4 linked regions of the Drosophila melanogaster genome follow. The protein of the gene in region 3 purifies or fractionates together with the protein of the main gene of each other region. This does not show direct contact. Each region holds a gene or a part of one and is shown on either strand. Other genes may lie near its edges.

The links.
Region 1: the proteins of HIP-R (region 3) and CG14034 purify together in Drosophila melanogaster (affinity purification with mass spectrometry, with the first as the bait; one large-scale study listed by BioGRID). This does not show direct contact.
Region 2: the proteins of HIP-R (region 3) and CG1635 purify together in Drosophila melanogaster (affinity purification with mass spectrometry, with the first as the bait; one large-scale study listed by BioGRID). This does not show direct contact.
Region 4: the proteins of HIP-R (region 3) and GstE10 purify together in Drosophila melanogaster (affinity purification with mass spectrometry, with the first as the bait; one large-scale study listed by BioGRID). This does not show direct contact.

What each region holds. Positions count from the first base shown.
Region 1 is NT_033779.5:5,212,465-5,219,568, forward strand, and holds CG14034 (uncharacterized protein), read right to left. Parts: upstream 4,079-7,104; 5' UTR 4,051-4,078; coding exon 4,023-4,050; intron 3,974-4,022; coding exon 3,871-3,973; intron 3,819-3,870; coding exon 3,241-3,818; intron 3,179-3,240; coding exon 3,010-3,178; intron 2,958-3,009; coding exon 2,819-2,957; 3' UTR 2,725-2,818; downstream 1-2,724. Other genes in the region: CG7742 (uncharacterized protein), read right to left, coding at 25-198, 251-332, 399-868, 924-1,176, 1,226-1,319, 1,373-1,559, 1,853-2,122; TpnC25D (troponin C at 25D), read left to right, coding at 5,887-5,889, 5,983-6,400, 6,463-6,491.
Region 2 is NT_033777.3:31,584,904-31,592,152, reverse strand, and holds CG1635 (uncharacterized protein), read right to left. Parts: upstream 3,481-7,249; 5' UTR 3,401-3,480; coding exon 3,294-3,400; intron 3,234-3,293; coding exon 3,163-3,233; exon of another isoform or gene 3,110-3,162; coding exon 2,867-3,109; exon of another isoform or gene 2,808-2,866; coding exon 1,882-2,807; 3' UTR 1,761-1,881; downstream 1-1,760. Other genes in the region: CG1638 (uncharacterized protein), read right to left, coding at 35-951, 1,012-1,254, 1,308-1,360, 1,417-1,535; rod (rough deal), read right to left, coding at 4,046-4,156, 4,217-4,850, 4,910-5,735, 5,806-6,070, 6,128-6,497, 6,556-7,064, 7,125-7,249.
Region 3 is NC_004354.4:3,786,867-3,795,336, reverse strand, and holds HIP-R (Hsc/Hsp70-interacting protein related), read right to left. Parts: upstream 5,369-8,470; 5' UTR 5,261-5,368; exon of another isoform or gene 5,208-5,260; 5' UTR 5,174-5,207; coding exon 5,001-5,173; intron 4,921-5,000; coding exon 4,799-4,920; intron 4,582-4,798; coding exon 3,935-4,581; intron 3,861-3,934; coding exon 3,669-3,860; 3' UTR 2,860-3,668; downstream 1-2,859. Other genes in the region: Crg-1 (circadianly regulated gene), read right to left, coding at 109-245. UniProt on the Drosophila melanogaster protein: One HIP oligomer binds the ATPase domains of at least two Hsc70 molecules dependent on activation of the Hsc70 ATPase by Hsp40. Stabilizes the ADP state of Hsc70 that has a high affinity for substrate protein.
Region 4 is NT_033778.4:18,394,932-18,402,691, forward strand, and holds GstE10 (glutathione S transferase E10), read right to left. Parts: upstream 3,462-7,760; intron 2,871-3,461; 5' UTR 2,688-2,870; intron 2,638-2,687; 5' UTR 2,535-2,637; coding exon 1,812-2,534; 3' UTR 1,707-1,811; downstream 1-1,706. Other genes in the region: Idgf5 (imaginal disc growth factor 5), read left to right, coding at 1-233; GstE1 (glutathione S transferase E1), read left to right, coding at 3,501-4,175; GstE2 (glutathione S transferase E2), read left to right, coding at 4,593-5,258; GstE3 (glutathione S transferase E3), read left to right, coding at 5,826-6,488.

The sequences.
Region 1 (7,104 bases), on a different chromosome or scaffold from region 3:
ATTTTGTAACTTAAAACCACACTTTTAGTCTCGACTTAGGGCTAGTTGCACTAGGGGCAGCACCTTGATAGAGGACAAGTCTGCCAGAATCGCTTCGATGCTATCCAACGAGGCCACCTGCATGATGCTCTCCTTTCGAAAGCTAAGAATGATGATGGCGAATAGAGGAAGGATCTCCAAGCTATCAAAGCCAAGGATCTGAAAAGGAAGGGATAAGTACTGCCAATAAGAACGGAGGTGTATTTCGTACCAGATCCCAGAGGACCAGCAATTGATCGGGAGGCAAATGTCCGGAAAACGCTCGCATAAGCCATTTGAAGACCACCCGCAGGCTAAGGAAAGATATGTCGTGAAATGGGTGAAATAGCTGTCTAACGAAAAACCCAATCCCAACTCACGGCTGTATCTGAAGCTCTCGGAAATGGGACCATAACTGCGGTTCGTATGTCTGCAGCAGCTTCTCGAAGAGCAGGCACAGACTGACAATCCCTTGAGGATGCGTGTTTATGGTGGTCAAGCGATGGCAGTACCGGATATAGAAGGCCCGGAATGTATAGTATAGACTCACCGGCGAGTCATACAGATAACAAAAGGGGGCGGCAAACATGCAGATGCCGTGGAAGGGCACCACACCCGATGGAGGACCTTCGTAGGTCTTGCCCTTCACCGGAAACGTCTCGTATTCCACACATCCACCGATATCGGTGTCCCGAGAAAAGCAGAGCAGCACCTGGTAGAGCACGTCCTCGAACACAAAGTACTGGTCGTCGTTGGAGGCCGTCAACTGAATGTCCTTGAAGACCAGTTTGTCAACGATGTGATCCGTAGTCCAAACGGCATTGCGCAGCTTTTGCCAGTACTCAATATCCTTCGGGGGTATAGAGATGTATAATGAGGTTATTGATCCCAAAATCAGTAGTTACGTAGTCATGTAGCTTGCTGTCCAGCACCGAAGCCCAGAGAGCTCCCCTATAAGGTGCGGGTGTGCAGCCCTTCTTCAGAAACTGCTGGCACATGGGCGCATGCCTGGCCTCCAGAATCCTCTGGCACTGAACCGTAAGATCCGGCACTCCCAAATAGCTATCACTTCGCAGCAGATCCGCGTAGTGGGCACGCAGCTCGAAAAGATTTTTCACAGGTAGTGCAATGTGGGAGAACTCCCATTGGGGGATTTGACTAATGAGCAAAATGATTATTTACCTGACTGATTTAAACCAAAACTTACTCTGTATTTTCAGTGGTTTTGGCGGGTCCTTTTAGCGAGAGTAGCACCTCCAGTAAATCCTTTGGAGCGTAAACAGGCCTATAGTTGGCCAGATCTAGAAGTTTAACCATGGTTAATTGTTAGCTTCAATATTTACGAAATGCCTACCCATATTGTAGTTGCTCAGTTCGTTCCACTTGGCCATAAAGTCCTCGCGATCAGCACTGATCCTTGGTTGTCCATGCAATGGAACCTTCAGCTCTGTACACATGGCATTCAAACTCTTCCTAACCCTTCGATCCCAAAGCACACCAGCTCTTTTTAAATATCCAAGTGGATCACTAACGGTGGGTTTCTATTGGAAAATATAGACATAAGTAAAGAACTATTTAATTCATTTTCCCTAGCACTACATACTACTAATACCCCTAAGGCTAACTCTATAGTTGTGGCACTTCGAGATCTTCCGGTATTATGTATCATTATAATTTGTTTTATAAACGTTAAGGTATAAAATAAAATTTTGCCAATAAAGTCAAAAAGTAGAAAATGATAGGAGCAGCATGGAATACTTTTAAATACCACTCCAATTATTCTAAATTCAATTACAAGAAATTTGATAAATTGTATCTTAAAAGTTGTACCCACCGCTCCCTGTTTGTTGGCCAGGTTTTTGTCATCTGTTTTCGACAGCCGCGTGCGGACCAGGTTGTAGACAATATTCCGGATCTCCGTCTCCAGTCCGGCGCTCTTGATGGCATCCTCGAGGGTGTTGCGCATATCGTGAGTATCTACGCTGGGATTGCAGACCAGCTTCTGCAGCTCCTTGTAGATGGGCTCGTAGCTCTTAGTGTTCTTGATGGCCGCGATTACCTTTGCGGTCATATGGTGGATGCTGGCATCCTGCAGCTCCTCCATGCCGATAGCTCCTTGACCCGACCGTTCTTTCTACGTATTACTCTGCCACTGACTACCAACTAACTATTTACACCGTTTTGATACCGATTAGCCCCAAAACTTTGGGCGCTCCTAACTCCGTCGTTTGACTTTTATCGATCAAACTCCGTCGCCTGCTTTGATTTGGAGTCGATTCGATTCCGAGTCACATCCTCGGTTGTCGTCGCTTCTTGGCGACGGAATGCAAACACTTGTTTGGCTGCTAGTTTCGCGTTAGTTGTGATTTGATTCGTTCGTTTTGCCGCCCCTCGCAACCAAGAAATTCCATTATGTTTCGTTTCGAATGAAAAGCCAGAGGCGCGTGAAATTGCTTTCCATATACATTTATTTTCACGCACACCGAAACACGCTGAAACTGAAACTGAGTGGCGGCAACTTTTCCTTTTTCTTGGCATCTGTCACCTGGCCCAACGAGTTGTTGACGTGGTCGTCGGGTTGGCTCCTCCTGTTGATTGCGAAGGTGGGCCAAACTCACCTGAACATGTCAGAGTGTCGAAAGTATTTCACCTGAATATTTAGACCAGGCCGAAATATGATTTTGAAATGGCAAAAATTTTTACACGAAAATAGAGATATATAATCCTCTATGTGGTACATTATTCAATGTTTATTTATGAATTAAAAATATTCGTTTTAAGATTTGGATAGCATCCCTTACTACGTTCCAATCAATTTATCTATAATATCATCGTTCACGAAAGTTCGACCTTTTAGTTGGCGGCTTATTGAGGTAAAGTTCTCTCCCTTGGCATAAGGAGGACCATTATTGGTATCCAGAAAATACCTGCCTCTGGCTCTGCAATTAAATAGATAAAAAGAGATCTGGAAAAATAGGTGCTGGCACTTACTTCGGATCCACGTGAAAACCCATCAGCTCTATATTTTTATCAGGAATGCAAATTCCCTTTGCGAAGCTTTTAAAATTGGGACAGTAGAAGCCATAGAATCCAGAAGGTGACGAAATAGACTCGGCATAATAGTCTGCTGCTCGGTTATGGTAGCAGAAATGAGTCTCCACTAAAGTCAGAACAACGAAAATGAAAAATATAGGTAAAGCAGATGGCCTTAATATTACTAACTCTTATTAATGGGTCCGCAGTTGGGCTGTGATACACCCATGTTCAAGTAGAAGTCCACGTGACCCACTGCATCCAGTAAGCCAAGCATCGTGACATCCGTGTGCACGACGTCCACGAACTTGGCATCAGTGGGATCGAGCTTTAGAGCCGGATCCTTGACCATGTAAAATGGTTTTGCCGGATCGAGGGCTGTAATATGCTCCAGCTTGTGTTCCGGAAGAAACTGCCCAATGAAGCCTGCGACATGGGCACCTAAGCCCAAGCCAATTAGGTGCAGATCCTCAATTTTGACCAATCCGCTCTCGAGGAGTACTCGTAGCAACTGAGCAGTACAGCGAGCTACGTATTTGGCATTGTGCACCGCTTCCGTATAGCAGGGTTCATAGGCTAGTTTTGGATAATCCAAGGATATCAAATTGTAATCCTGTGTCAGGAACAGCGGACGTAGCTGGGTATTGGGACTGAAATCGCGGTGCCCGTTGAATCCATGGATCAGAACCTTGAGCGGTTTGTGGTGATAAAATTCAAAACGATTAAGTTCAAAAACTGAAAGCTTAGTTCCCTCCTGATTTTCTTTTCTGCAGATACGGATAGATAATGAAAATCATAGTATAAAACCATTAATCTTACGTGTATAGCCAAAAGGAAATGTTGGCATTGGGACAAATTTCGTTTTGCAGGGAAAAACAGTTCATATCATCTAAGCCAGCAACGAGCATAACACTCGAGAAGCCTAAAACACGATTACTTTATGACTTTATTATTAACTCAGCCTGAATTACCTATTAAGACCAAGATGTTATTCATCATTCTCTTCGATTCCGTTGAGGCCTTTACTGATTTTTTTATTTTCCGACTTTATATGCTCTAGGTTCCATAAAATCTTTTTAATTAAGTTTGTCTCGTTCAACCGAATAAGTAACCGGAAAGCTTTTCTAATTGCAAAATATGTGCATCTGTAGCGCCCAGGGAGGAGCAGTAAAATATTATAGCAGTGGAATTCTGCATAAAAGTTAAATATGATTAAATTATAAAAAGAACAGAAATAGAATTTTAAAAATCAATTTAAAAATAAATAGGAAGTCAGTAATTAATTAATTCGCGGTTGACTTCGCTCCTGGGCAGAACAATTTGCAGTGGTAATTACATCGTAAATCTAGCCTTAAATTTCATGCCACCAAAATGTCAGCGTTCGAATTAGAACTTATGCCACAAGTGTGGCCAACACTCAACTCAAGCTATTTATACAGATACACATTTTGGGCATTGAAAATTATGCAAAAACAATCGAAGTGCCACTGTGTGAGTGCACTGTGGTCGCCAGAGCAACCCAACCCAACCCAACCCAACCCCTCTTCCCATTGTGCCATTCCGTCACCTCACTGGGACATTCCAAATGTGTTTCACGTTTTGTCATAAATAATAAAACTCAAATGACCATCAAAGCCACTACTGTGCGCCTTTGCCAAAAAAAAAAATGCCGCTGCCGGAAGGTTACCCACTCATACAGAACTATCCAAATTCGAATTCGCATCCAAATCCGAACCCATGCCCAAAGAACCATAGCATCCCCCACAATTGGCCTGTCCATCTAGCGTGATGTCCATTTGCCAGCCTGAATGCCTGTTTGTTTGTTTTAAAGCAAAAATCTAAAACCAAATCAACATTTTTCGAGACCAAAGTGGAGAGGATGGAGGTTGAGGATCGGATGGGTGTGTGGTTAACCGCAGCACTAGTGGCTATGGGTAGAGTGGGTAGCCAGCAAGTAGTCAGCAAACGGCAAAGAGCCTGTGGAATTGGCTGTGGACCAGCCATCGGCATCTGGCCCACACTCATGATCATATGGACAAAAATTGCTATAAAGTACTAAAAATACAATTACCGTGAGAAAATCGCACTGATTTTGTGACTGATTGTGAAGACGTTTATAGTCGATTTTTAGTGACTGACTGAGTGACCGACGGACCAGGCCATGCACACATCTCAACTCGCCGAAATATGGATGCGAGGGTGTACCTATATCTGTATCTGTATCTGTATCTGTATCTGTATGTGCTGTATCTGGTGTATCCGTTGTATCTGCTGCTCTTTTGCATAATTGTGGCGTGCGCTGTGCGCTCGTTTTTCCGGCTGCCAGCGCCAAAGATGATGGAGATGACGTCGCCGTTCTGCCGCCGACCTTAAGGCATCAGTACCCTCCCACCTTACCCAACCCCAGCCAATACCCAACCAATAACCCAACCAACAGGAGGCAGGCAGTGCACCTGTAACACTTTGATCTGATTTAGATCAGCGTCTGGCCAGAATCAGTCTGCGCATCCGCCTCCACCTTCACCTACACCTCTGTACCCACCGCCACCTCCACTAGTTCACATTCCAATGGCTTGGTTAATAAAGTGTTTTGCCGAAAAGCCAAACCAACAATAACCCATGGATGGGATGCTCTGCTCCGCTGCTCCTCTGCCGACGAGGTGTACAACGCTGCGTATGAGTGACGCTTCCACTAAGCGAAATTTGTTGTTTATAAATAATGATCTTGGCCAGGCGATCGGTTTAGTGCGCGCCCGCAGGCCAACGCAGTTGGAACGCATTGGAGATTGGAATACTCGCTCGCTCGCAAATTGTCGTTTGGCCAACAGATACAAAATGGTATCTATCGGGTGTTGTTTTTGCATTTCTCTGGGCGGGTGGATATTGTGCAATCGATTATGATGTGATCGGGCTAATTTTTGGTAACCGCAGGAGGACGACGAGAAAATGGACATCATGCGCAAGGCATTCCAAATGTTCGACACACAAAAGACGGGCTTCATTGAGACGCTGCGTCTGAAGACGATCCTCAACAGCATGGGTCAGATGTTCGACGATAGCGAACTGCAGGCTCTGATCGACGACAACGATCCGGAGGACACCGGCAAGGTTAACTTCGACGGCTTCTGCAGCATCGCTGCCCATTTCCTGGAAGAGGAGGATGCCGAGGCCATCCAGAAGGAGCTGAAAGAGGCCTTTCGTCTGTACGATCGCGAGGGAAATGGTTACATCACCACCTCAACGCTGAAGGAAATTCTCGCCGCCCTCGACGACAAGCTCTCCTCCAGCGATCTGGACGGCATCATCGCTGAGATTGACACTGATGGATCCGGTACCGTGGACTTTGATGGTAAGTATTCCCTTGTAATTAACAAATATGTGATGCTGACTAATTGCCATTTTCGATCACAGAATTCATGGAGATGATGGCGGGCGAGTAGAAAAACCACGAACGCTGATAAAACCAACAGAAAATCGAGCTTTTGGGTTTAATTATAATTTTTTATTATTTTTAAATAAATTAACTAACCGCTTTAATACAAAACTTTAGTTCTTGTGGTCTGCGAGCAGTAATAATGAAACAGAAAAAAAACTGAAAGATACATATCCATCTAGTTCATATAGTTTACTTGTTGCTCTTACAGGCTAGTCATCTAACTCTAGCTTAAACAAGGTTACATGATAAGAACGATAAGATATAAGTTAAACGGTTACAGATAAAGATACATATATAGTATTTACAGAATCGCTTATAACGATAATATATAATATATATACTATATATATGTATGGTTAGCGGCCTATAAACATCTTTGCTATTTACACAAAACAAAAGAGCCGACACAAGTGCACTTCTCGAGATACGCAACTGCCAGTTCTATATATCTCTGGTTATAAATACAAAAATATGTGCTACTAAAAGGGGAGGAAGGGAGTCGGGCTCCTGTCTGTTGGCTCCTGTCTTTACACTTTGTCTTAAGGCAACTAATTCCGTGGATTTTACAAAAGGCAGCATTTACTTGCACAAAGTCTGCAAAGTTTACACTTAAACAC
Region 2 (7,249 bases), on a different chromosome or scaffold from region 3:
TGAATTTAAACTGAGCGGGAATTTTTTTTGAGGCTTAGCTTCTGCTGGCAATGAACTTGCGGCGACCATGGATGTACCACATGGTTTCGTGGTAGGAGCGAGGCAGCACCTCAGTAACCGCGTCTGGAGCGGAGAAGGTATAGTGAAACGTGTTAGTGGTCACGTGGTTCCCCGTGTACGCGTCCAGGACTTCGGCAACAGTCATGATCTGCAGGTAGTTCTCCTGGGTGTACACCACATACGCGGTCATCTTGATAAAGCTGTTCACGCTGACCGGCTTCTGGAAGCTAATGTCCGATATGTGCTCCAGCGTGGGTCTGGCCTTGCAGTAGAGGAACGCTGTTGCCCAGCTAATTTCCAGGGCACTGCGCATGAGGAATCCCCCGAAGACAGTGTTGTTTTGGTTCCTGTGCTCCGGGAATGAGGGAATAGTGCTCATCTGGAAGGAGTCGTGCATCCAAATGCAGTTGGGAGGCAGGAGGCGGCGCGGACCGGTTTGCTCGTTGGGAGTAGTCCTTTTGTAGAGTTTGTAGATGAGAGATTGTTCCTCGGCGTTGGGTTCCACCTTGAAGACGGACTGAGCGATGAGTAGCTGTCGTTGCTTCTTCCTGTCGGTCCCGCCAGCTAGGATGCGCTTCTCCTCCTCGTTGGCAGGCTGAATGGGATTCACTGGAGCCGCAGCTGTGTTGGTGGCATTTCTCGCCGCCATCAGAAACAGAGCTCGCGTGATTTTCTGATACTCCTCATTGACAATCTGCTCCAGCCATACCACCACCTCCATGGAACTGGTTCCCACCCAGGACACGTGGCCAGACAGACGGATGTCTTGGGTGCCCTGGGGTGAGACACTGGTGAAGTCGATCCGGTCCACCAGGACCGTCACGAGGGAGTACGGCAAGGGTACTCCCTCTGGCAGATTGGGCACTTTCAGGTGCCTATTACAGCACCAAGCTACGAAGAATTAAGCAGACAATTATTCAACAACATGGCTTTGGCCAAACTAGATGGTACCGGCGAAGATGTCCATGTCCTCCAGAAGCCTGCCAAGGCGCGCGAAGCCTCTAAAGTTGATATACTTGTCCTGCAGAACTGCATTCGTGCTCAGAGGAATGATGGCCGAACAAAACGAGTCCTGCATAGATCGCGCAGGTAAGTCCTCAAACTTGGGTTGGTACTTGAGTAGATCCTCCCTGGACTTCGGCTCCGTGGTGAACCCAGGCTCCAGGCCGAAGCTTTTCAGCATCTTCTTCTTGACTAAAAGGGATATCTGGACAAGTAGCACCTATTTCTGGAATGGAAGTACTTACTCTCCGTCATAGTGGCGTATTGACCGTCCGCAGAGGAGTTACGCCCATTAGAGCTAGAAGAAATGTGGCCTATAAAATCTGATTTCTGCTAGTTGTGTTGGTGCTTCACCTGGAATTTTTATGTGTCATCTTCCTGAGGGTCCTGGCCTTTAACAAGCTCCGGCAGCTGCGGGCTCCGAGCAAAAAAGGTACAACACATAATTTAACATTTCTAAGACCAGGCCCCATGGAAACGGATCGGGATCGAGATCTGAACTCAGATCCGACACGAAATTAAAACTATAAATTTTGCTTCAGCTCTGCTTTTTTGATTACAGGTAATGGGTATCCAAAAAATGTAAAGTCGGCAAAAATTAGGGATTATTTTGACAGTTATTATATTAATAAACATTTAATCTAGTACTCTTCGATAGGGTTTAATAGAAGATTTTAAAAGTTTTAAGCTGGTTGGTTAAGCACATCATTAAACAACAGACATTTATTGCTTTTTGTAAACACTGAACTGGTAATTGCATTTATCTGGTAGGATAGCCTTGCATAATATCTTGAGTAACAATCACAGGCTGAACCATGTCTACACTGGGCCCATGCTGGCCTCGAACTTTCGACGACCTTGGATGTACCACATGGTTTCGTGGTAGGAGCGGGGCAGCACCTCGGTAACCGTGTCCGGAGACGAGAAGGTGTAGTAGAACGTGTTGGTGGTCACCTGGCTGCCCGTTTGTGGGTCCATCACATCTGCAACGGTCATGATCTGCACGTAGTTCTCCTTGGTGTACACCACATAGGCGGTCATCTTGATGAAGCTGTTCACGCTGACGGGCTTCTCGAAGCTGATGTCGGATATGTGCTCCAGCTTGGGTCGCGTTTTGCAGTAGAGGTAGGCTGCTGCCCAGCTTATCTCCAGGGCACTTCGCATGAGGAAGCCTCCGAAGACCCGGTTGTGGTGGTTCCTGTGCTCCGGAAATGAGGGAATAGTGCTCATCTGGAAAGAGTCCTCCATCCAGCGACAGTTTGGTGGCAGGATGCGCTTGTTGAGTTCCAAAGTGTTGGTGGGAGTTGTCCTTTTGTACAGCTCGTACATAATTGTCTGCTCCGGGTCATTGGGTTCCACCTTAAAGATGGACTGAGCACAGAGAATCTGACGTTTCTTCTTTCTATCTGCGCCGCCAGCCAGAATCACTTTCTCTTCCTCGTTGGCCGGCTGTAAGGGGTTCACAGGAGCCGCTCCGGTATTGTTAGCGTTTCTTGCTGCCATCAGGAACAAGGCACGGGTTAACTTTTGGTACCTCCCGCCAACCATCTGTTCCAGCCACACTACCACCTCAATTGAACTGGTTCCCACCCAGGAAACGTGCCCAGACAAACGGATATCTTGGGTGCCTGAAGCCAAGACATTGGTGAAATCGATGCGGTCCACCAGAATGGTCACAAAGGTGTACGGCAGATGAACTCCCTCCGGCAGATTGGGCAGAACCAGGTGTTTATGACAGCACCAAGCTGGAAATAGCGGATAGTGAGAAAGTGCGCCAAGATTCCAGCAAATGTGTTCCTCATACCAGCAAACAAGTCCATGTCCTCCAGAAGTCGCCCGAATCGCACATTGCCCAGATAGGTCACATATTTGTCCTGCAAACTGCGGTCCGTGCTCAGAGGAATGATGGCCGAGGTGAAGGAATCCTGCATAGCTCTTGGAGGCAGATCCTCCAGCTTCGGCTGGTACTTGAGCAGCTGCTCCCTGGATTTGGGCAGCGGGTTGTAACCGGGCTCCAGCCCCAATCGCTTCATCATCCCCTGCTTGACTGCAGACGTTCGGGGATTACGATGGGTTTGACTCTGGCAAGACAACACTTACCCTCCGCCATGGTTCCGGATTCATTGGCGACCGCTGATTGCTTGATATGCGTGGGCGGTGAGTAGTGACGCCTGTTAGAGATGAAAGTACTCATTTACCATGTAAGCTCATCATTTATTTTTTGCTCTTACTTGAACAATGCGAAGGATGCTGGCACCTGTTTGGTGGGTAATTCCATAAAGTTCCTGGTGCGGATCAGGCCCCAGCACTTTTGTGCTCCTATCAAAGAACGCATCATCTCGGTTTAACTTAGTTTCGCAGCTTTCTCCTTGCTTTTCAAGTTACATACAAAGTGTAACCTGTCTTTGATCTAACCCCAAATAGAAAACAGCTGGCGGCCACAGCTGACTGGTACAGTGGGCTCGAGAAAATTCGTCTCCAACTAATTTCGAAAAGTTCGATTCTTTAGTATATTAATTTTTTCCCATTTACTTTAATTAAATTGATTTGAGACTGACTGTTCTTTACACAACAAAGTCTTCATTTAAAAAAAATCCTAATATATCTCATTATTTTCAGTATTCCATCAACTTGAGCCCACTGTTTACAGAAGTGATACATACGTATGACGTCATCCCGATTGTTGTTAATTTTAAACTGGGAAGCGAAGTTCCCTAGACAATTTCTCAAATTAACACATTGTTTTGTGATGCATAAATTATGAAATTAAGAGATTGTACTGTTTGAATATTGACTAATTGCTACTGTATATAAAATAACATATTAAAATTAAAATAGAAAATAGTCATCGTTTGTATAAACTATATTTGCAGGTATAAAACCTTGATATTTACAAAAGTATCTTGACCCGAACGCACTTAACGCAGATATTCGACCAATAAAACAAAAAATTATGGGAATAGTAAAATCCAAATCTCTACGCTTACAGATTTAGTTCCTTGAGCGCAAAGTTCAGCACCACCGGCAAAATACCAGCATCTTCCAGATCCAAGATCTGTTGCCGAAGGTTCTCCACCGGATGGGAATGTATCATCTGCAAGAAGAGTTAGAGTGACAATAGAGCATTTCGTTAAAGTGCGCGGTTCGAGCATACCTTTTTGATCTTTTGGCGTTGCTCGCTGCTCTGGCAGAAGCTGAGTAGAGAGGCGGCCATGTGCGGTCGATGGACGACGATGCAGAGCTGGGCGAACTGTAGCAGGTTGAGGGCGTGCACCACCGGACAGCCCTGCAGGCGCAGCAGCGTCTTGTGGAGCACCTCTTCCTGCTTAAAGGATCGTAGCTCGACTGCGTTCTGCAGAGGATGGCAGAGCACATAGTCCCAGGCCTGGGCCAGTCCATCCAGGTGAAGTAGATGCGGCCGGCAGCTGAGTACATCCAACAAGGCGTTCAGCTCGCGCACCATATGGAACATGACCATGCGCTTCAGAATGCCGTTCCAGATCTGCGGCAAGTGTATATCAAAGCCCAGGCAAATGTTGGCCATGACTTCCAGCGAAAGGGGATTCTGCGCATTACGCTGCCAGATCATCTTCAGAATGTCAATCTTGTTGCAATGGTCGTCGGAGAACTTCTCCAGGTTCGACTTGTAGCCCAGAGCCTTGAGCTCGTGCACACACTTGATGCTGATGAACTGGCGTTGGCTAATCGTGTTGGTAAAGGAGTTGCTGCCATCGTTTAGCTTGGAATAGCACTCGTACATTTGCAGCTGTGTGGAGGTGTTTACCGAACTGGTGGAAGGGTTTATTCAATGAATTATTTTCGCTAACTTTTAAGTACCAATCCTTACCCGCCCTTGAAGATCAGACCCACAAGGAACTTGACTGCCTCCGCCTTTGGCCAACTGGAAAGTATGTAAAACGCTCTATTTACGTTCTCGCTGGCGTCCTGGCTGTTGGAGGACTCTGCGCCGTTGGCCTGCTCCGGCCAGTTCTGCTCCTCCATGAAGGTCTCCTCCAAAATGGTACCATCACCCGCAGACTCCATAGTCAGAGCGAGCCACTTCTGTAGCAGGCGGTACTGGATGGTGGCTAAGCAGAGGTCGTGCAGCTTGGCTATCTCTGCGACCAGAGCGTTAATATCCACTTTGCTGGACTTGAGGATCAGCTCATGGTGGTAGAGCGCCTGAATAAGCTCGGTGGGGTTCTCAACTTGGCGCAGTAGCTTCTCATCGGTCAGGCCATAGACATACAGCAGGTGCTGGGTCTTCTGAATAGGATACCGTCGCTTCACCTTGGCAACCTGCTCGCGACTCTTTGGATCTGTAATCAGGTGGCCCTTCTCCTTGACAAACTTCCAGCACTCGTAGGAGGCCTCCACCTGATCGGCTCCATCACGAGCATAGTTGGACACGAAGTACAGTATTAGAAATGCCTTGTTTGGGTTGTTCACCTTCTCGACCAGTCGTAGTATTGACTGCAGGAAGGCATTATTCGTGGGATGAAGACTCCATGATTCCGAATCATTTTTCGACTTGTACTCCGATATCGAATTCTTTACTGCTGACATGCAGAAGTAGTCACAGTTCTGGGAACTATCCTTGGATCCCTTCAAAGCCGTGTACATCTGAATCAGTGGAAACCAGCTTTGGCAGTTGTCCACGTTTAGTTCGCTGTCTGAATAGAAGAAGCGGAAACTATAATTAAACAGAAGCATTAAGCATTAAACTATTTCAGTTGAATATACCAAGAATATCCTTAAGAGGTTGCTCTACGATGGGCTTAAAAGGCAGACGATATCGAGATATCTTCGGCATAACGCCATTTTCCCTTTGTGATTTCAGCCACGTGTCGGTTTCCACCTGACCTGGCCGATTGCGTCTTCTGGTGATCATCTTGTGTCTCAGGAAGTGCAAAATGTTCATCCAGATTTCCATTTCCTTCGGAGCCGAATCGAAGTACATTAGGATGTTGATCACACACATGTACAACTCGTAGAAGTAAATGTTGATCTAAACGATTTGCAAAGATATTAAAAAAAAGATTATTTGTGGCATCAGTGAGCTTACGTCTTCAATAAAGTGTTTTAACTTGGAAGTAAAGAGCTCGACATTATTGATTTCATTAATGTACGGTTGGCACATATCGCGCATTTCCTGGGCGCTGCTTAGCATAACCAGTTCCTCGTCGCCGAAGGTATCCCTCTTCACCTCGAAGCGCAACTCCTGGGCGCTCAATATGCTTAGTATCTGGGTAATAAGAATCTTTTGGTAGTCGAACCCAAAGTCCTTGCTCATGCGTTCCAAAAGCTGAACGTCAAGTTGCTTATTGTGAAACTCCTTAAGCAGGTCCTCTATGTTGTCCATGTCGGCATTGAACTTGCCCTTTATTCTATGATCCTGTTGGCAAAACTCCAGGTAATAGAAGAGTTTCAATCTCCTGCAAACCAATAAAACGAAGTTTAACATCTAGACTTTTAATGTAATACTTCACTTACTTGGTGCGTATCATGTGCACACTGTCCAAGTCTTCGATATGCTCGTGGTACATGGCGGATAGTGTCAGGAAGTTGATTTTTTGCAGATCGGTCTTTACTTCAACGGAGAGCTTCTCCAGCAGCGCTAGTGCCTCGCTGTCCACCACCAACATGGTGAAAAGCTCTATGAAGTTCACATCTTTGCTCCCCATCGCATTTCGGAATATGCGGCGCAGCTGCAGCGTAATAAAGCCCTCGTTGATGATCCGCTTCGTGCGACAGTTTTGCTTCTGGAAATCCAGCAGATATTGCGACATAACGTACCAAGCGTCGTGCTCCTTCACCTTCGTCAAGTGCTCCAGTGACAGAAAGAAGTCAGCGCAAGCACTTTCGACATCCGCTTTTGTGTTCTCCGGCAGTTCATTGCGAACCTGCATCAGCAATGAGTTGTTTGGCTCCGTTTCGATTACCATAAGCAACAGAGTGCGAGCCAAGAACTTCACTATTGCCATGCGACCTCCGACGCTTTTCTTCGAAGACAACAGAAAGCATTATAACTATAGTCAATTATAGCTGTCTACGATCAATACCTTCTGAGGCTGCTGCTGGATAGGCTGCACTTCTACTTCATCAAACATGGACACCGAGTAGCGCTTCTTCGTAGTCGTTGGAACCGTCAGAGTCTTCACGTCAAAGGATCCGTTAAGAGCACAAC
Region 3 (8,470 bases):
ATAACAGGATGGCTAGCACTCCACAAAATGGCGTCCATCCGAATGGGCGGTGGGCGGTGGGCGGTGGTGGTTGATTCAGTGGGTGGTTCGATGGGGGACAGTACTTACGATATCCATTGGTATATGCCCGACACAGTCAGCTCACCCTTATCCTCGAGGGCGTATTCGATGAGCTCCGTGTAGGTGAACGGTGGTTTCTTTGGCCTGCTTGTTTTGCGGTGGTTGGTTTTGGATTTCAGCCACATTGGTGGGTGGTTCGGTGGTTTAGTGGATCGGCGATTGCGTGGTTGGGGAAATTCGTTGGCGGCATCGATTGGAGGACGGCATTGAAAGCAAATGGAGAACGCACAAATCAGAGAGAAAGATTGTTAAATATATTAAAAGAAAAGAGAGAATGCTATAGTCGAGTTACCCGACTATCAGATACCCGTTACTCAGCTAGTGTGAATGCGAACGCGAAATTTAATCATCTTTCTGGGATGTCGATAGATATTGGGGAATAAAATGAGAAAAAAATTTAAAAATTGATCCTGATCAACAAATTTTATATATACTTCAACGAATCTAGTATACCCTTTTCCTCTATGAGTAACGGGAATAAATAGATGTTTCAAATAAATTAGGAAATATAGAATTTAACCGTTGACACTGTCATATTGTTTTATTTCTGCAACACTTACGCCTTGGACGAAGTATCCTCGACGACAACGTGCTCGGCAACTATCATGTCGTTACCGTCCAACTCCGAGGTGACCTCCATCACCAGCTCCTCGAACTTGCGCCCAGTCTTGGTGGAGCCCACGCCGGCCACGCCCCCCGCTGCTGAAGCGCCAGCGGAGCCGTTGCCTCCTCCTCCTAATGCCGCTGGCATCGCTGCACTGGAGCAACTCTTGGGCGATCTGGCCCGTTGATCCACCAAACCCGATCCGAGAGATTGATTTGTGCTTATGGCGGATGCGGATGCCGATGCGGCGGAGGCGGATGATGGCGAGGAGGAACTGCAGGGCGACGTGGCGATCGGCACTGCCGTCGATGGTGGATGAGGTGGAGCACTGCCCTCCGGCAGATTGACCGCCTGTCCGTGAATCTGATTGTGCGGCGATAGGTGCGGGAACTCGTCGAACTTAAAGTTGAGCAGCCACGAGAGGTTCTTATCCTCGAAGTCCGCCTCGGTGGCTTCATTGGCCCCACTAACCGAACCGGATGAGGTGCGTCGGCCCGCCGACTGTATCCGCTGCTTCTGCGGCACCAGAAAATGTTGATTCTGATGTGGGTTCTGACCAGGAATGACATTCTGTTGTGTTGACTGCTGCGTATGATTGGATGCATTTTGAGCTGATGATGATGTTGGTGGTGGCGGCGGCAAAGTGGCATTCAATTGCCCCAGTTCCGCCTGCAGGCCGGAGTTATAACGATGATCCAGCTCCAGCAGCTCGCCACCGGTCCAACCACCATTGTCATCCAATGGAGCACTCGATGGTGGACAGTGCGAATAGGCGACGGCGGGCACCAGAAGACTGCTCTCATAGGAAAAGAGATCGTTGATGAAGGACGTCGAGGATTGGGCGGGTGCAGCGTTGGTTGGCGGATTACTAGGTGGCTGTTCCAGCTGCAGGTGGAAGTGCAGGTCCCCGGCATCGTAGTCCAAGTGTCGCTTCTTCCAGGGATTTGCCCCGATGGGCTCGTAGTCGTGGCCCAAAGCCAAATCCTCCTGATCGTCGAACTTGCGCTTAAGAAAGTTGTAATCACCGGGAAGATTAGTGTTCGTATCATTTTGATTGGTGGTACTGCTATTGTTGTTGTTGTTGCTGCTGGGATTCGATGTTGGGCTGGATGCACTGCCCGTTCCATTGACGGGCATGTTGACAATCATGATGTCCCGGCTGTCTCGATTTCAATCACGTTAGCCAAGCCAAAACACACAACTCACACTTGGCGAAAAAGAGCAAGTAACACGAAAAAAAAATTGACCTGCTTCGTCTGGGGGACGGACGAAGGATATTTCTTTCTTTATTTCTCAATCTTTAGTTTAGTCAAGAGCGGAAATTGGGAATTAGTCGGTCCGCACTGGCTAACTGGCTAACCGTCTCGCGCTGCGACTGGCCACGGAATGCGATGGGCCGCCAGGAGTCCAGACCAACTTGGCTGTTGGGCTGAGCTGCGCCTGCGCCCTCCTGCCACTCATCCACATTCACATCCACCACCCCGGACACCCAGTCATGCACATAAGCGGTACGTCTGCAGTCGATGGAAAGAGGAGCCGTACCTGTGATGGCGCAGGTACAATAAAATAATGCAGACACTTCACTGTATTATATTTGACATATTCGTTGATATATGTTTCAACCATATCACCTGCTTATAAATATATATTTATAATTTATATATAAATATGAAAAATATCAAAGCAAAGAAAGCTGTCATAGCTTCTAAATAATCAGTCGTGTACGCTGTACCAAGCTGAGTTTAAAAAGCAATCAAGTACCTCTAGGTACAACCACCCAGGTCTTGGCATCGCTGAGCCCAGGTCATGTGCCGCTGGTTCTGCTTGGTCGCTCGATTTGGCCATAATCGAACATGTGCGCCAAGCTGTCCGTTAGCCAATTTCGCGCTGACATGGGGCGGGGTGCGGTAGATAGGTTCTGGATCCAGGGTGCAGGGTGCAGCCATTGAAGCGTCTAATCGACGCTTTCATACACCATGCGTACCCAATGTCCTTCATACAAAGTGAGCAACCCACACAGGTGATGCGCCGGATAGTTTAAGGGACTACGGCTCCATCTGTCCAACCCGCTCGAAAAAAAAGCAAAAGTATCTCCCCTTTTACCCGTTTACCAAAAAATATGGACATTAGCAATTCGGGTTCTTGTTGATTCGTTTATTTATTTCCATTGATCACTGGTTGAATGAGTGTGTGAATGAGTGTGTGAATGAATGGGCGATTGCTTTCATGTTGGGGGGCTAAATGCATTTGCTTACAATATGATTTAAATCCTACTCAGTACAATTTTGTTTGACCAAATGATGCGATTAGTTTTATCCGTTTCTTCGTTCTCGGTAATTTAGGCTAATATTATTGAACATATATATATTTTTTATTTTCTTTTGGTTGTTTCTCGAGCTTTAGTTCAACTAGATCGATCGGCACCCTTGAATCTGACTTGACGTCTAAACATTTATGTTTTGTTCGTCACAGGACAATCTTTTGATTTACCTGTGAACTGCAAATGTGATAAGTTTTTAAGCATATTCTAGCTCCTTTGTATAGTTTCATTTGCCACTTTAATGGCCGCAAGTATGCTTTTCAATAATATGTGAAGAAGCGTCTCCAGCATCTCCAACATCTCTTTCTTCTCGATTTAAATAAATGTTGCTTATTCTTCTGACTGCTTGTAGTATTTTGAATATTTGAATTTTCTCCATTGTCGCCCGTTCTTTTACGTGTTGGTTAAGTTAAAGCTTAGGAAATGTTTGTTTTTTCTCAGCTGCAAAAATGTGTAAGGCAGCCGCTTTCCCTTTTGTTTTTCGTGTAGTCCATCTTCTTCACCGCACTCTGTTGCTTTCTCTTTCTTTGTTGTTTTGTAATCTCGCTCGATTTCGTGTAATTGGTTGTTAACTTCTTTTTATCGACGCATGTTTCAGTCTTACTACTGCCCCATTTCTAAACCTTAGTCCAAACCGTCATCGACGAAGTCGGCGGAGTCCTTTTTAGGCTTAGGCTCGCTCGGCTTTCCAGCCTTTTCACCCGCTTGGCCAAAGGCAGCACCCACATCTCCACCGGGCACAATCTTCTTGATAAGGTTGTATATCTTCGGGTTCGACGCGTACTTTGTGATGTTACCCGGATTTGACAAAATGTCCTACGAAAGTTAATAAATAACAACGATATGATTACTGCATTTGTATTAGAAATAGAAAAGTAGTATTCACGAACCTGAATGGCGGCTGACACCTCGGGATCTGACATGGCGCCCAGTATATCAGACATATTTCCGTTACCAGGATTCCCACCGGAAAATTCTCCAGATGATCCACCAGAGCTGGCATTGTGCTTTTCCTGCTCCTTACGTGCGCGCCTCTGATCCCGCTGGCGTTCCTTGATCTTACGCTCTGCCTGGCGACGCTCCTGCTTCAAGCGATGCTGCTCGATTTTCTTGGCATTCGGAGTGACCTCCTTTAGCCACTCGTCTGTCTCCTCGTCAAAGTCCAGCTTGCATGCTTGGCGCAAATCATGGGCAGCCAGCTCAAAATCTCCGAGGAGGCGACGGGCGCGTCCCCTGAACTTGTAGCCAGCCGCCAAATCCGAGTTGAGTTCCAGCGCCACGTCGCAGTCCCGAATGCAGGCATTCGGCTTCTTCAGCTTGAGGAAGGCCTGACCACGCTTAGCGTGGAAAAGGGCATTACCCGGGCTCAGTTCAATGGCCTTGGTGTACAAGGCGATGGCCTCGTCGAACTTCTGCTGGCCGTAAGCGGAGGCCGCCTGGGCGCGCAGCTCGCTCGCCTGCTCCACCTCCTCTTCGGTGGCCTTCTTGCTGTAGTTGCCCATGGGTTGGGCGGGGTCGCTGTCCGCCTCGATCACACCTGAAGGCGTCGGAAGTAATACGGATAGAAGATACATAGTTTTAATTGGCGTATTACATATATTAATACTGCAGGATTCGAATTTGGGTAAACGCTAAGTTTGCAGTGTCGAAAGGATATAAGATAAAGCAACTGCCAGCACTGCGACAGCAACGCATCAAAGTCCAGGGTTGTGACCCCCAATGACCACGTGACTCGGCAAAATTTGCACACTCACCCTCCATGTCCAGCTCCACGTCCGACTCAGGATCGGAGAGGGACTTTTCGTCCTCGCTATCCTCGGGGGCATTGGCCGGCTCGTTGGCCTTGGCACCAGCAACACCGCCGAATGGGCACTTGCTGGAAGAACAAGCCGCGGGATGAGCAAATCATACAATCGTGTTGTTTTGAAAATTGGTCAAATAGTTCGGTTAACTTACCCTCCGGCGCTGCCACCGTTGAATTGGCCAGGCGGCACCGTGCCACCAAACTTCTCCACGAAATCTTTGACGAACTGCAGCTGCGGCATGTTCAAGAAGGTGGGATTCTCAAGCGCAAAGTCGATGAAGTACTTCAGCTTCTTCAGATCCCCGGTTTGCATTGTGAAAGCCATTTCTGAATTCCGTTTTGTCTCGATGTTTTCAGATCTGATATATTAATATATTAATATTATTAATAAGCAATATTTGCTTAGCTTTACGTCCACTTTTGCTCTGCCCTATCGATTGGTATGCATAAATACCATGAAAAAGTACTGAGAATTAATCGACGGTATTTATCGCTTCGCTCTTGTATTTTTCAGTATTTTGTGCGTACGATAGTGCTGGAAAATGTGACAACTTTTAAAAAGATAACAGCCATTTTCCGCCACATACCCCAAAACTAAATACATATATATTCACATAGGATCGAGAATGTAATGAGCCACAATTAAGTCCATAACTATTGCTGAAGAAGTTTATGTCTGCCCCCATTGACATTAAAACAGTTTTCTGTTAATCATTTTAGTATTTTTTTATTTTCAATGTTTCGTCATGTTTTTTGTTTGCTTTTGTCTTTTGTTTTCTTGATGTTTTTTTTTTAGCTTTTTTCATTTTGTTTTGGAATTAATTTATTAATTAATTTTTATGTTTACTTATTGATTTAGTATCTTCTTCGCGCTTATCTCTGTCGTCGCCGCCTATTTCGTGTTTGCATTGTTTTTTTTTCGGCTTTCTTCGCCTTTTCTTGTGTTTGGTGTGTGTCTGGTTGAAGGGGTTAAGGGTCAGAAAATGGTGAAAACTGGTGGTGATGTTCGGGTATCGGAAGGGAGTGGGTGGTGTCGATGGCCTATTCTGAGTGCCCTTCTCTCCGTGCTCGCACGCATACAAATATTTTTCATATCCGTTCACTTTAAATAATTTTTTAGCATAACTATTAAATAATTTGTTTATATATAATACATACATATATGTATATATGCACACATATATGTATATTCAGTTTGTTTTTCGTAATTCGTTCAATTTAAACTTTTTAATTATTATCGTAATTATTTTTTAATAAAATACTCAACAAATAATTTAATGGGCTTTGTTTTTCTCGTCTGCTCAACTGTCTCATCGTTTTTTTCTGCTGCTGTTTTTATTTTTATTTTCGTTTTTTTTTCTTTTTAAGTATTTATATTTTGATTCGTTTAGTACTATTTAAACACTTAGTAGGTATTAATTTGTTTAGCTTTATACGCTTGCGTGTGTGTTCTTGAGTGTGACAACTTTCTCTATGAAAAACTCAATAAAATCGAAGAATTAAAGACAAATAAATTAAAACATCTCGTGGTTTTTTTTATCAAACATTTCGCTTGTTTATTTTGTTTCTCTTTTTGTTGTTTCTGTTTCTTGGTTGTTGTTGGTTTCGCTGTGGATCAAACCGAAACCGTTAAGTGATAATAAAAAATAATGATAATGGTAATCAAAATAATAATAATAGTTTCCTTTTAAATATGTATAATTTATAATTTAAAGATGTGCATTTTACATAATTATATAATAGATAGATTCGCTCTCATTCTCTATGCATCTCCTTTCATTATCTTCACATTCCTTGCTTTCCTTTATCTTTTATCAAATTAAATTAACACACACTCGCATCCAATCGTTATCGACAATCGATGACATCACATCGATATACACACACATTTAGATATCGACCATTATGGGCTAATTCTAACGGTTACATTAAACGGAAAAAAAAATCGGAATCATTATCCTCATATCATTATTCTTTATAGAGATGCAAAAAAAAAATTTAATCTTACAAACTGATTGGCTAAAATTAAAGGAAAGTACGTACATATACAAATTTGCATACAAATCTGAAATGGTTCTTCTGGTTTTTTATGTTTTTTTGCTGGTTTTCTTCATTAATTTAAACTTTAATTAGGCATAAATTATTTATATAAATATTTACAATGCTCTTTGCTATTTTTAGGGAGTTCTTGCCGCTGCTTTATTACTCTTGTTCTGCTTGCCGTCCTTATCTGCGTCCATTTTTGTTTCTTTCTATCGCGATATTTTCCATTTTTTATACTTATACTCTAAAAACTAATTTCGGGTTACTTTTCATTCATTTTGTTTTGCGTAGACTTAAGAAAAAAATGTTTTTCGCTTTTGGATGAATCTTGCATCTTTCACTCCCCGCTCATACTCTTCTGTTCCTCTTCTGATCTTTCTCTTTAAGGTTTTTTTTGTCTGGCTGTAGGCAGATTTCATATCGGTTTTACATACATATAGATCTATATATTATTGAAACATTTAGCTTGGTAGTTCATGTTTTTTTTTTGCAGGTTTTATATATGTATATATATTTCTATTAATATGCCTTGGATATTAATATTTAATACAATTTACGCATAGTGCATTACAATTATAATTTTAAAATTAAAAAAAAAAAAACATGTATATATATCGATACATATATGTGTAATTTTAATAAAAACTATTACATTAGTTTACTATGTATTTAGAAGTATTTTACTTCAAATAGGTTTATTTTCTGTTGATTTTTCTGATCCGATCTGATCTCATGAATTACGCTTTTTCTCGATTTTTCTTGCATTTCTACTTATTTTCTTTTCTTTGTGGCATATAAAAAAATGGTTTGATTCTATGAATTTTTCAGTTTTTTTTATCTGTGGATTTGTTTGTGGTTCAGATACGACTATATACAAATGTATATATATATGTATATATATATATATATATATATATATATATATATGTGTGTGTGTGTGTGTGTGTGGTGTTAATGTTTATGGTATTTTTATATTTAAATCAATTTTTTTTGGATTTTGATACAAAACAAACAAAAATGACTTTTATATTTCAAATTGAATTAAAATATAATTGGGATGTTTTTTCCGATTAAAAGCGTTAAAAGGAAGAGATAAATATATATATAAATATATTTATAAAGATTTACTAGTATGCTTCAATGTTTATGCAGATATATATATATATATATATATATATATATAAATATAAATTTATACATTTATATAATTTTTATATTTTATATATATTTATATATTTATATCATCATTACTAGTAACTATGCATGGACACAAAGTGAAAATTTACAGTTAACATTATTCGTTTTGTTTCTTTTAAGGCAAAATTAGTCTGCAGTGTCTACCTTGTGTGTATGAGTAAGTGTATTTTTAATGTTTGAACCACAATCACAATCCAGCAGATAATGCAATAATTTGTTATTTCCCATTGCAAATGTCCCCTATTCTCTGCGTCTTTGTAATCCTTTTTTGCGTTTTTTGCTTTGTTTGTTGATGCTTTTGCGACTCGCTGTGAATTTTCTTGGGATGTTGTTATTGCTGACGGCGGCAGTGTGGCAGGCAGCTCCTCGTTCTCTTAAACTC
Region 4 (7,760 bases), on a different chromosome or scaffold from region 3:
GCGATCCCACCAAGCGTTTTGGCATCTATGCGTACCGGGCAGCGGATGATCAAGGGGAGAATGGCCTATGGGTGGGCTACGAGGATCCCTTGACGGCGGCCATTAAGGCCGGATTTGTGCATGCCCAAGGATTGGGCGGAGTGGCCTTCCACGACCTGTCCATGGATGATTTTCGTGGTCAGTGTGCTGGCGAAAAATTTCCCATTCTGCGAAGCATCAAGTTTAAGCTATAAAAAGAATAGCTATTTGCTTTGAATTTAAAATTTACTAGCTTTCACAATTATCCTTCTACTTTTTTAGTGTATTTTTGTGAAATATGCATGGATTGCAATAAATTTCATTTAAAATAGTAAACGAGCTTTCAAATGGCTTCCGAGTATTATATTTTCTTTAGAAATATAAGAATCAGCTTGTTCATTTAATGAAAACTAGGATAAATTGAGATGCGAGAACGGTGAGCAAAATAAAAAAAAAAAAATAAAAAGCAGGAAATAAACCGGCCAAGTGGAATCCTGTAGAAGCGAAAAAGAAAAAGTAAAAGCGTCCTGAAGTGGCAGGCGGAGCGTAAAGCAAAGCAAACTTCTCAAATGCCACTGACACGATGGGTGGAATTTTCGGGGAGCCATGCTGGCAAGGATGTGGGGGTTGGTTGGTGGACGGGGCGAGATGGGGTGAGTTTGGGGTAAGTAGGGGTGGCATGCTGACTGGTTGGGCCAAAGTAAAAGTTGAAATTAAACCAATTAGTTTGCCTGCCACCACTTTCTCGTCGCCGTTGCAATGAGGCGCATAAAACGCGGCGACACAAGGTAAGTTCCTGAGATGCCCACAAAGTAGTCACGAGTTTCTAAAAACGTTAAAGCTTATGATTTTTTTTCTTTTCTTTGGGGCTTAAATAGGAAGGGAATGCTTTAAAAAAATTTGTGTTTTAAGGCCAACAAAGGTTTATAAGTAGGGAAGAAATTGAAAATAAGTAAGAAACAAATGGAAAATTCATGTACTTTTTATAGATTTCCATACATCTGCAAAATAAAAACAAAAAGTTTTGGAATTTTTGCTTCATAAGAAATATCTTCGGATTGCGTGACTCCAATTTCCGCTCACGTTAGCATCTCCTGCAGGACTTCCGTGGGGCTTGGAAACGGACTTCACCCAGCAGGTATTTAGACTTGGCTCCTTTTTTAAGAGTATTTTAAACGACGGCGCGTCCTTTTTGTGGACTTGGAGCAAGCGAAGGGCGGGGAGTTCGAGACCCGAGCGCAGATAAGAGGCAAATTTGGAAGTGGCATAAAACGGGGGCGAGTTGGGTTTGCTGCGGAGCTGGGCTGGCTAGCTGCTTGGGCGGATGGCGCCGTCATAAATTAATTATGATTTAACAACTTTAGCATGCACGACACGGCAGGAAAACTTTGCGCTTTTCATTTACCCCGCCCTCTTCTATTTTGTGTCGCTTTTGTGGAGGGTAAAATTTTATAATTTTAATGAGCGCAAAAAAGTTGTAAACTTTTGGCTGCGTTGCCATTGGAAATGCACTCCACGCTAGATAGTAATTTATATACAACATAAAAAAAATGTTCGCCATCAAGGACATTTACCGGCCAAGAGCACTTAGATGGCTACAAAGTCTTCAGTTAACTCAGAACAGTATATAGTGAGCCTATACACTGGGAAAAAAAGAAGATTATTCAAACATAATATACATTTTAAATCATTTTGCCAGCAGCGTAAGTTTTAATACATCATATTAAATACCATTTAACATACAATTTTACTTTGGGCAATGCTCTCTTTTCGATGCGACAATGGCTTCCGCATCACTGTTTTCCAGCTCCGCTCTTGATGTCCTCAAAGGCCTTTTGCCACAGCTTGTCAAACTGCTTGGGCAGCTTGGAGCGAATCTTATCGGCCAACAAGCGGGCTCCTCTCAAGTTGTCCTCCTCATAGAAGGGCAATGCGGAGATACGTGCCAACCAGGCGGATAATTTGGGGTATTTGGTCGCATCCACGGGACAGTAGCTCAGGTGCAGAGTGCTCACGGTGGCCACAATGCTAAAATCGGCGATGGTCAGCTGAGGACCGGCCACATAGGGATTCTCCGCCAGAAATTGCTCCAGCAAGGCGTAGGCATCCTTCAACTCAGCCAAACGATCCTTGGGCACCTCAGTGGCATTCTCTTTGAACAGAGCTCTCTGCAATTGCTTGAAGATGCCGTGAAAAAGGACACCGGTCTCGAAATGCAGCCGCTGATCCACCACAGCTCGCTTCAGCGGATCCTTTGGATAGAGCTCATCCGACTGGGCGTACTTGTTCACCAGATAGCCGATGATGGCGTGTGAGTCCCAAATGCATGACTCACCATCCTCCAGCATGGGTACCGTGTGCTGGGGATTCTTGCGTAACATATCCGGCTTCAGATGATCGCCGGCCTGCATGTCCAGCGTATGGAATTCATGGTCCAGCTGGAGGGCACGAAGGGTCAACAAAACGGCACGGACCGGCGGACTGGACTCAGTGCCATATAGAATCAGGTTAGCCATTGTGGTTGCTTAACTAATTGCCTTCTAGCTGGTTGAATTGAGATTCGTAGCAGACAGTGTGCCATCCACAACTGACTCAAGGCAGTCTAAATAATTTAAATTTCTTTCAAACGCGATAAGATTAGATATTAAACTTAGTTTCTTGATAATTACCACAAAGACGTCATAATGCTGCAAGTTTAAGTTTGCCTGATTGTTTATTAATGTCCGGGATAAGTCGGTCTGCTATCTATTAGCTGTGTCAATATTTGATCAATGTCCCCGTGATTTATTTGATCATAGTTGGAGCACCAAAGGGGCTACTTATATACACTGCTAGAAACGTCCAAACGAAACCTAAAGTAACCAGACTCATTAGCAGTGTTTCTATGCAAACATTTTCATATAAATATAATTATAAAATTATGAGTTTAATATTATTACTTCTGTGTATCAGATCATACAATTTTATCCAAAATAACGATAAGCTTTATGCCAGCTTAACTTAAGCTTTAAGCTTTTAGAAACTTTCAAGCTTCGTTAGGAAGACTTGAATTGTAAATTTACATGGGTTCTACATGATTCAAATAGATGTATATTACAATAAATCATAAAACAAGTAACTGTATTAAATTAATTTCTTCTGACAACCAATGTTCCTGAGTTCACAGAGACCTACTTTGTTTTTGATGAGTATATGTTTTTTGTAGTTCACCACTGCATATGGTGTTTTAAAATTAGTATCATATAGATGATTCCAGAACTATCAGTTGGGGGTAATTAATGTTTGTTATGATGAAATAGGCATACATATTATATATATGGTTTTTTTTTAACTGTTTAACACATGGTTTCGAGCTTTTATCTTAGATTTACGAAATGCTCTCTCATTTAGCAAAAAGCTTGAGGCAATAAGGTGTGTATATATGTACAGTAAATAGAGAGATCAGTCGAAAGAAAAACACTGACGGGTAAACAACACGTATCATGTCGAGCTCTGGAATTGTACTCTATGGGACAGATCTCAGTCCCTGTGTGAGGACCGTCAAACTTACCCTAAAGGTCCTGAATCTGGACTACGAGTACAAGGAGGTGAATCTTCAGGCGGGCGAGCACCTGAGCGAGGAATATGTGAAGAAGAATCCCCAACACACGGTACCGATGCTCGATGATAATGGCACTTTCATCTGGGACTCCCATGCCATTGCCGCCTACTTGGTGGACAAGTATGCCAAGTCGGATGAGCTGTATCCCAAGGATCTGGCCAAGCGTGCGATCGTCAATCAGCGTCTCTTCTTCGATGCCAGTGTAATCTATGCCAGTATAGCCAATGTCAGCCGCCCGTTTTGGATAAACGGTGTTACCGAAGTGCCCCAGGAAAAACTGGACGCCGTACACCAGGGTCTGAAGCTGCTGGAGACGTTCCTGGGCAACAGCCCCTACCTGGCCGGCGATTCGCTAACCCTAGCCGATCTGTCCACCGGACCCACTGTAAGCGCCGTGCCCGCTGCCGTGGACATAGATCCTGCTACATATCCCAAGGTCACCGCCTGGTTGGATCGCCTCAATAAGCTGCCCTACTACAAGGAGATCAACGAAGCTCCGGCCCAGAGCTACGTCGCCTTCCTGCGCAGCAAGTGGACCAAGCTGGGCGACAAGTGAAACTAAACTTATATTTAAATATGACATTTCACAAGTTTGAATTCCATCAATTAACAACATACACATCCATTTCTAAAACGTAAACTTCTTCAATAAAATATAACATATATATAAAATATTTAATTTATTTTTTTATTTAATTTATATTTATTTAAATATTTGAATTTATAATAAATACTGAAATTTATAAACTTTAATATGGGACTTGAGTCAGTAATTATTATCTCACAGTTGGGGAACCCGACCGTAATATTTTTATCGCTCATTTATGATATCGTCAGTGTACAATTACAAAAGTTTATTTAAGATACAAATGGGGCAAGCTCAGCGCACCCAATTGGGTTGTTTAGTTAAGCTCGTTTAGATTTCTGTGTGTGGCAAATTTAGTGGAACTTGGGTCTCTCTGGTGATCGCATCATGTCGGATAAATTGGTTTTGTATGGCATGGATATTAGTCCTCCTGTTCGCGCTTGCAAGCTGACCTTGCGGGCCTTAAACTTGGACTACGAATACAAGGAAATGGATCTACTGGCAGGAGATCACTTTAAGGATGCGTTCCTCAAAAAGAACCCGCAGCACACCGTACCACTCCTCGAAGATAATGGTGCCCTTATCTGGGATTCACATGCTATTGTCTGCTACCTGGTGGACAAGTATGCCAATTCGGATGAGCTATATCCCAGGGATCTGGTGTTGCGCGCCCAGGTGGATCAGCGTTTGTTCTTTGATGCCAGCATTCTGTTTATGTCGCTGCGAAATGTCAGTATACCCTATTTTCTTCGCCAAGTAAGCCTGGTACCCAAGGAGAAGGTGGACAACATTAAAGATGCATATGGCCATTTGGAGAACTTTCTAGGGGATAATCCCTATTTGACCGGGTCGCAACTGACCATAGCTGATTTATGCTGCGGAGCTACTGCATCCTCGCTGGCCGCTGTTCTTGATCTGGATGAGTTAAAGTATCCAAAGGTGGCTGCTTGGTTCGAACGACTCTCTAAGTTGCCCCACTATGAGGAAGACAATCTGCGGGGCTTGAAGAAGTATATCAATTTATTGAAACCCGTATTAAATCTGGAGCAATAGTAATTTGTATTAAAAAAAAAATACCATCAAATGCCATAAATACCATAAAAACAAATCAAATCGAATAGTACTACAACTGATTTGTAACAAAAACCTATCATTTTTAGAATCATAATAAAACTATCATTACGTACTGAATCCTAAAGAGAGAAATAATAAAAGAGAAATATATAGATGGAAAAACTTAAATGATCAGTTTTTTGCTTATAGATAGTTAATTTCCAAAAATTGCTGTTTCACTGTTTAATATAATCAACTGGCTTATCGGTTAAATTATGACAATGGTCTTTAAATCCCAAAACGATGAGTAAACAAATAGAAATGTTTAATATGTGACCAAAAGCGCTCTGTATTGTAAAGCTTTAAAACGTGAAGTGTATATATATTACGTATACGACAGCTAAGAGATATGTGGGTTCCAAGCATTGAGTATGACATACTGCAGAGTCATCACAGATGTGCAAAGCTCTCTTAAGTGAAGAGCACCACCTGGTGGCTATATAAAGCCCCAAGTTTCGACGTTTAGTAAGCAGTTACTAGTCAATCGCCTTACAGCACACTACAGACATGGGAAAACTTACGCTTTACGGAATCGACGGTAGTCCTCCGGTCCGTTCGGTGCTGCTCACGCTGAGAGCCTTGAATTTGGACTTCGACTACAAGATCGTCAATCTGATGGAGAAGGAGCACCTGAAGCCAGAGTTCCTCAAGATCAATCCCCTGCACACCGTGCCCGCTCTGGATGATAATGGTTTCTATTTGGCCGACAGCCATGCTATTAACTCCTACCTGGTGAGCAAGTACGGCCGGAATGATTCTCTATACCCCAAGGATCTGAAGAAGCGAGCCATTGTCGATCAGCGTCTGCACTACGACTCCAGCGTGGTGACCTCGACAGGAAGGGCTATCACCTTTCCGCTCTTCTGGGAGAACAAGACGGAGATTCCACAGGCGAGGATCGATGCCCTGGAGGGTGTCTACAAGTCCCTCAATCTGTTTCTGGAGAATGGCAATTATCTGGCCGGCGACAACCTGACCATTGCCGATTTCCACGTCATCGCCGGCTTGACAGGATTTTTCGTGTTCCTGCCTGTAGATGCCACTAAGTATCCCGAGCTGGCTGCCTGGATCAAGCGCATCAAGGAGCTGCCATACTACGAGGAAGCGAATGGCTCTCGTGCTGCCCAAATCATCGAGTTCATCAAGAGCAAAAAGTTCACTATTGTTTAAGGCATTTTAGTATAGACAAAAATAAATAAGAACAACAATTATCATAACGACTTGACTTTTGTACGACAATTTTGCTTAATATCAGTCCAAACTTGTTTTGAGTGAATCGATAAGAGAAACTACTGGTTTATTTTGTGTTTGCTGCATAAGATGTGAAGGCAGATATGATATATGGATCACCATATGTAGTTTGCACACGATTGATGGATTTTAAATGAAATTTTTATGAAAAATGTTTGGCGCTTATATATTTAGAGAAATATGTAAAACTAAATTATTATTAAAACTACTAAGAGGTCAACAGTATGCATGTGAATCAATAAGTTTAGTACTTTGATTTAGCTAGCGGTAATTGCTGGGTTATAACCAATATCTGATAACTAAGCATTGTTTGTTAGAATGTAAAAAGAGCAGGCGGTAAGAGCTTTTGAACCAAAATCGTATATAAAGCTCTCTTACGTCAAAAATCTCTGATAACTAAAAGAGCACGGAAATATTGGCTGATGTCATCTAATTTGGTTTACTGGCCGAGTCATTACAGCACAGCGAAACTCTCTTAATTTAAGAGAGCTTCCCAGTTGAGGGGGAGGCAAGACAGAGATACCCAAGGCTAGATTTGATGCACTGGATGAGGTCTACAAGACACTTGAACTGCTCCTGGAAAGCAATGACTTTCTGGCTGGAAAGTTCCCAACACCATCACTGATTTCCACGTCATCGCAGTGCTTTCACGTACGATACTAATCAGTGATTTGGATGCCACGAAATACCCAAAGTTGGCGGGTTGGACTCAGCGCATCAGGAGGTTGCCCTACTACGAGGAGGCCAACGGACGGAGCAAAAAAAAAAACACTATTTTTTACATAAAATTCCTAATAAACTATAAAATTTATGGAATTGAAACTTTGCATTATTAGACTTATCACAAATGGAATATGATACATTTACGCAAAACCAAGGCATGTTGTTTAAAAAACTCTCAAAGTATTTTATCAAGAAAACTCAATGGAAACAATTTTCTCGTACTTTGGTCCCAAAGTCCCAAACGGATCGGTTTCTTTCTTTGGAAGTAGTCTCCGATGCACTGAGCTTAAGCCCATGTGAAATACTCACCTAACAAATCCTTGATGACAAATTGAGAGACCAATTGGAGACCTTCCTGGCGGACAATCCCTACATAACCGGGGAAACTCTGACCGTTGCTGATTTTTGCTGTCAATCTCTGCCAGCTTTTGTTCCCCTGGAGTCGGATAAGTATCCGAAGGTCACCGC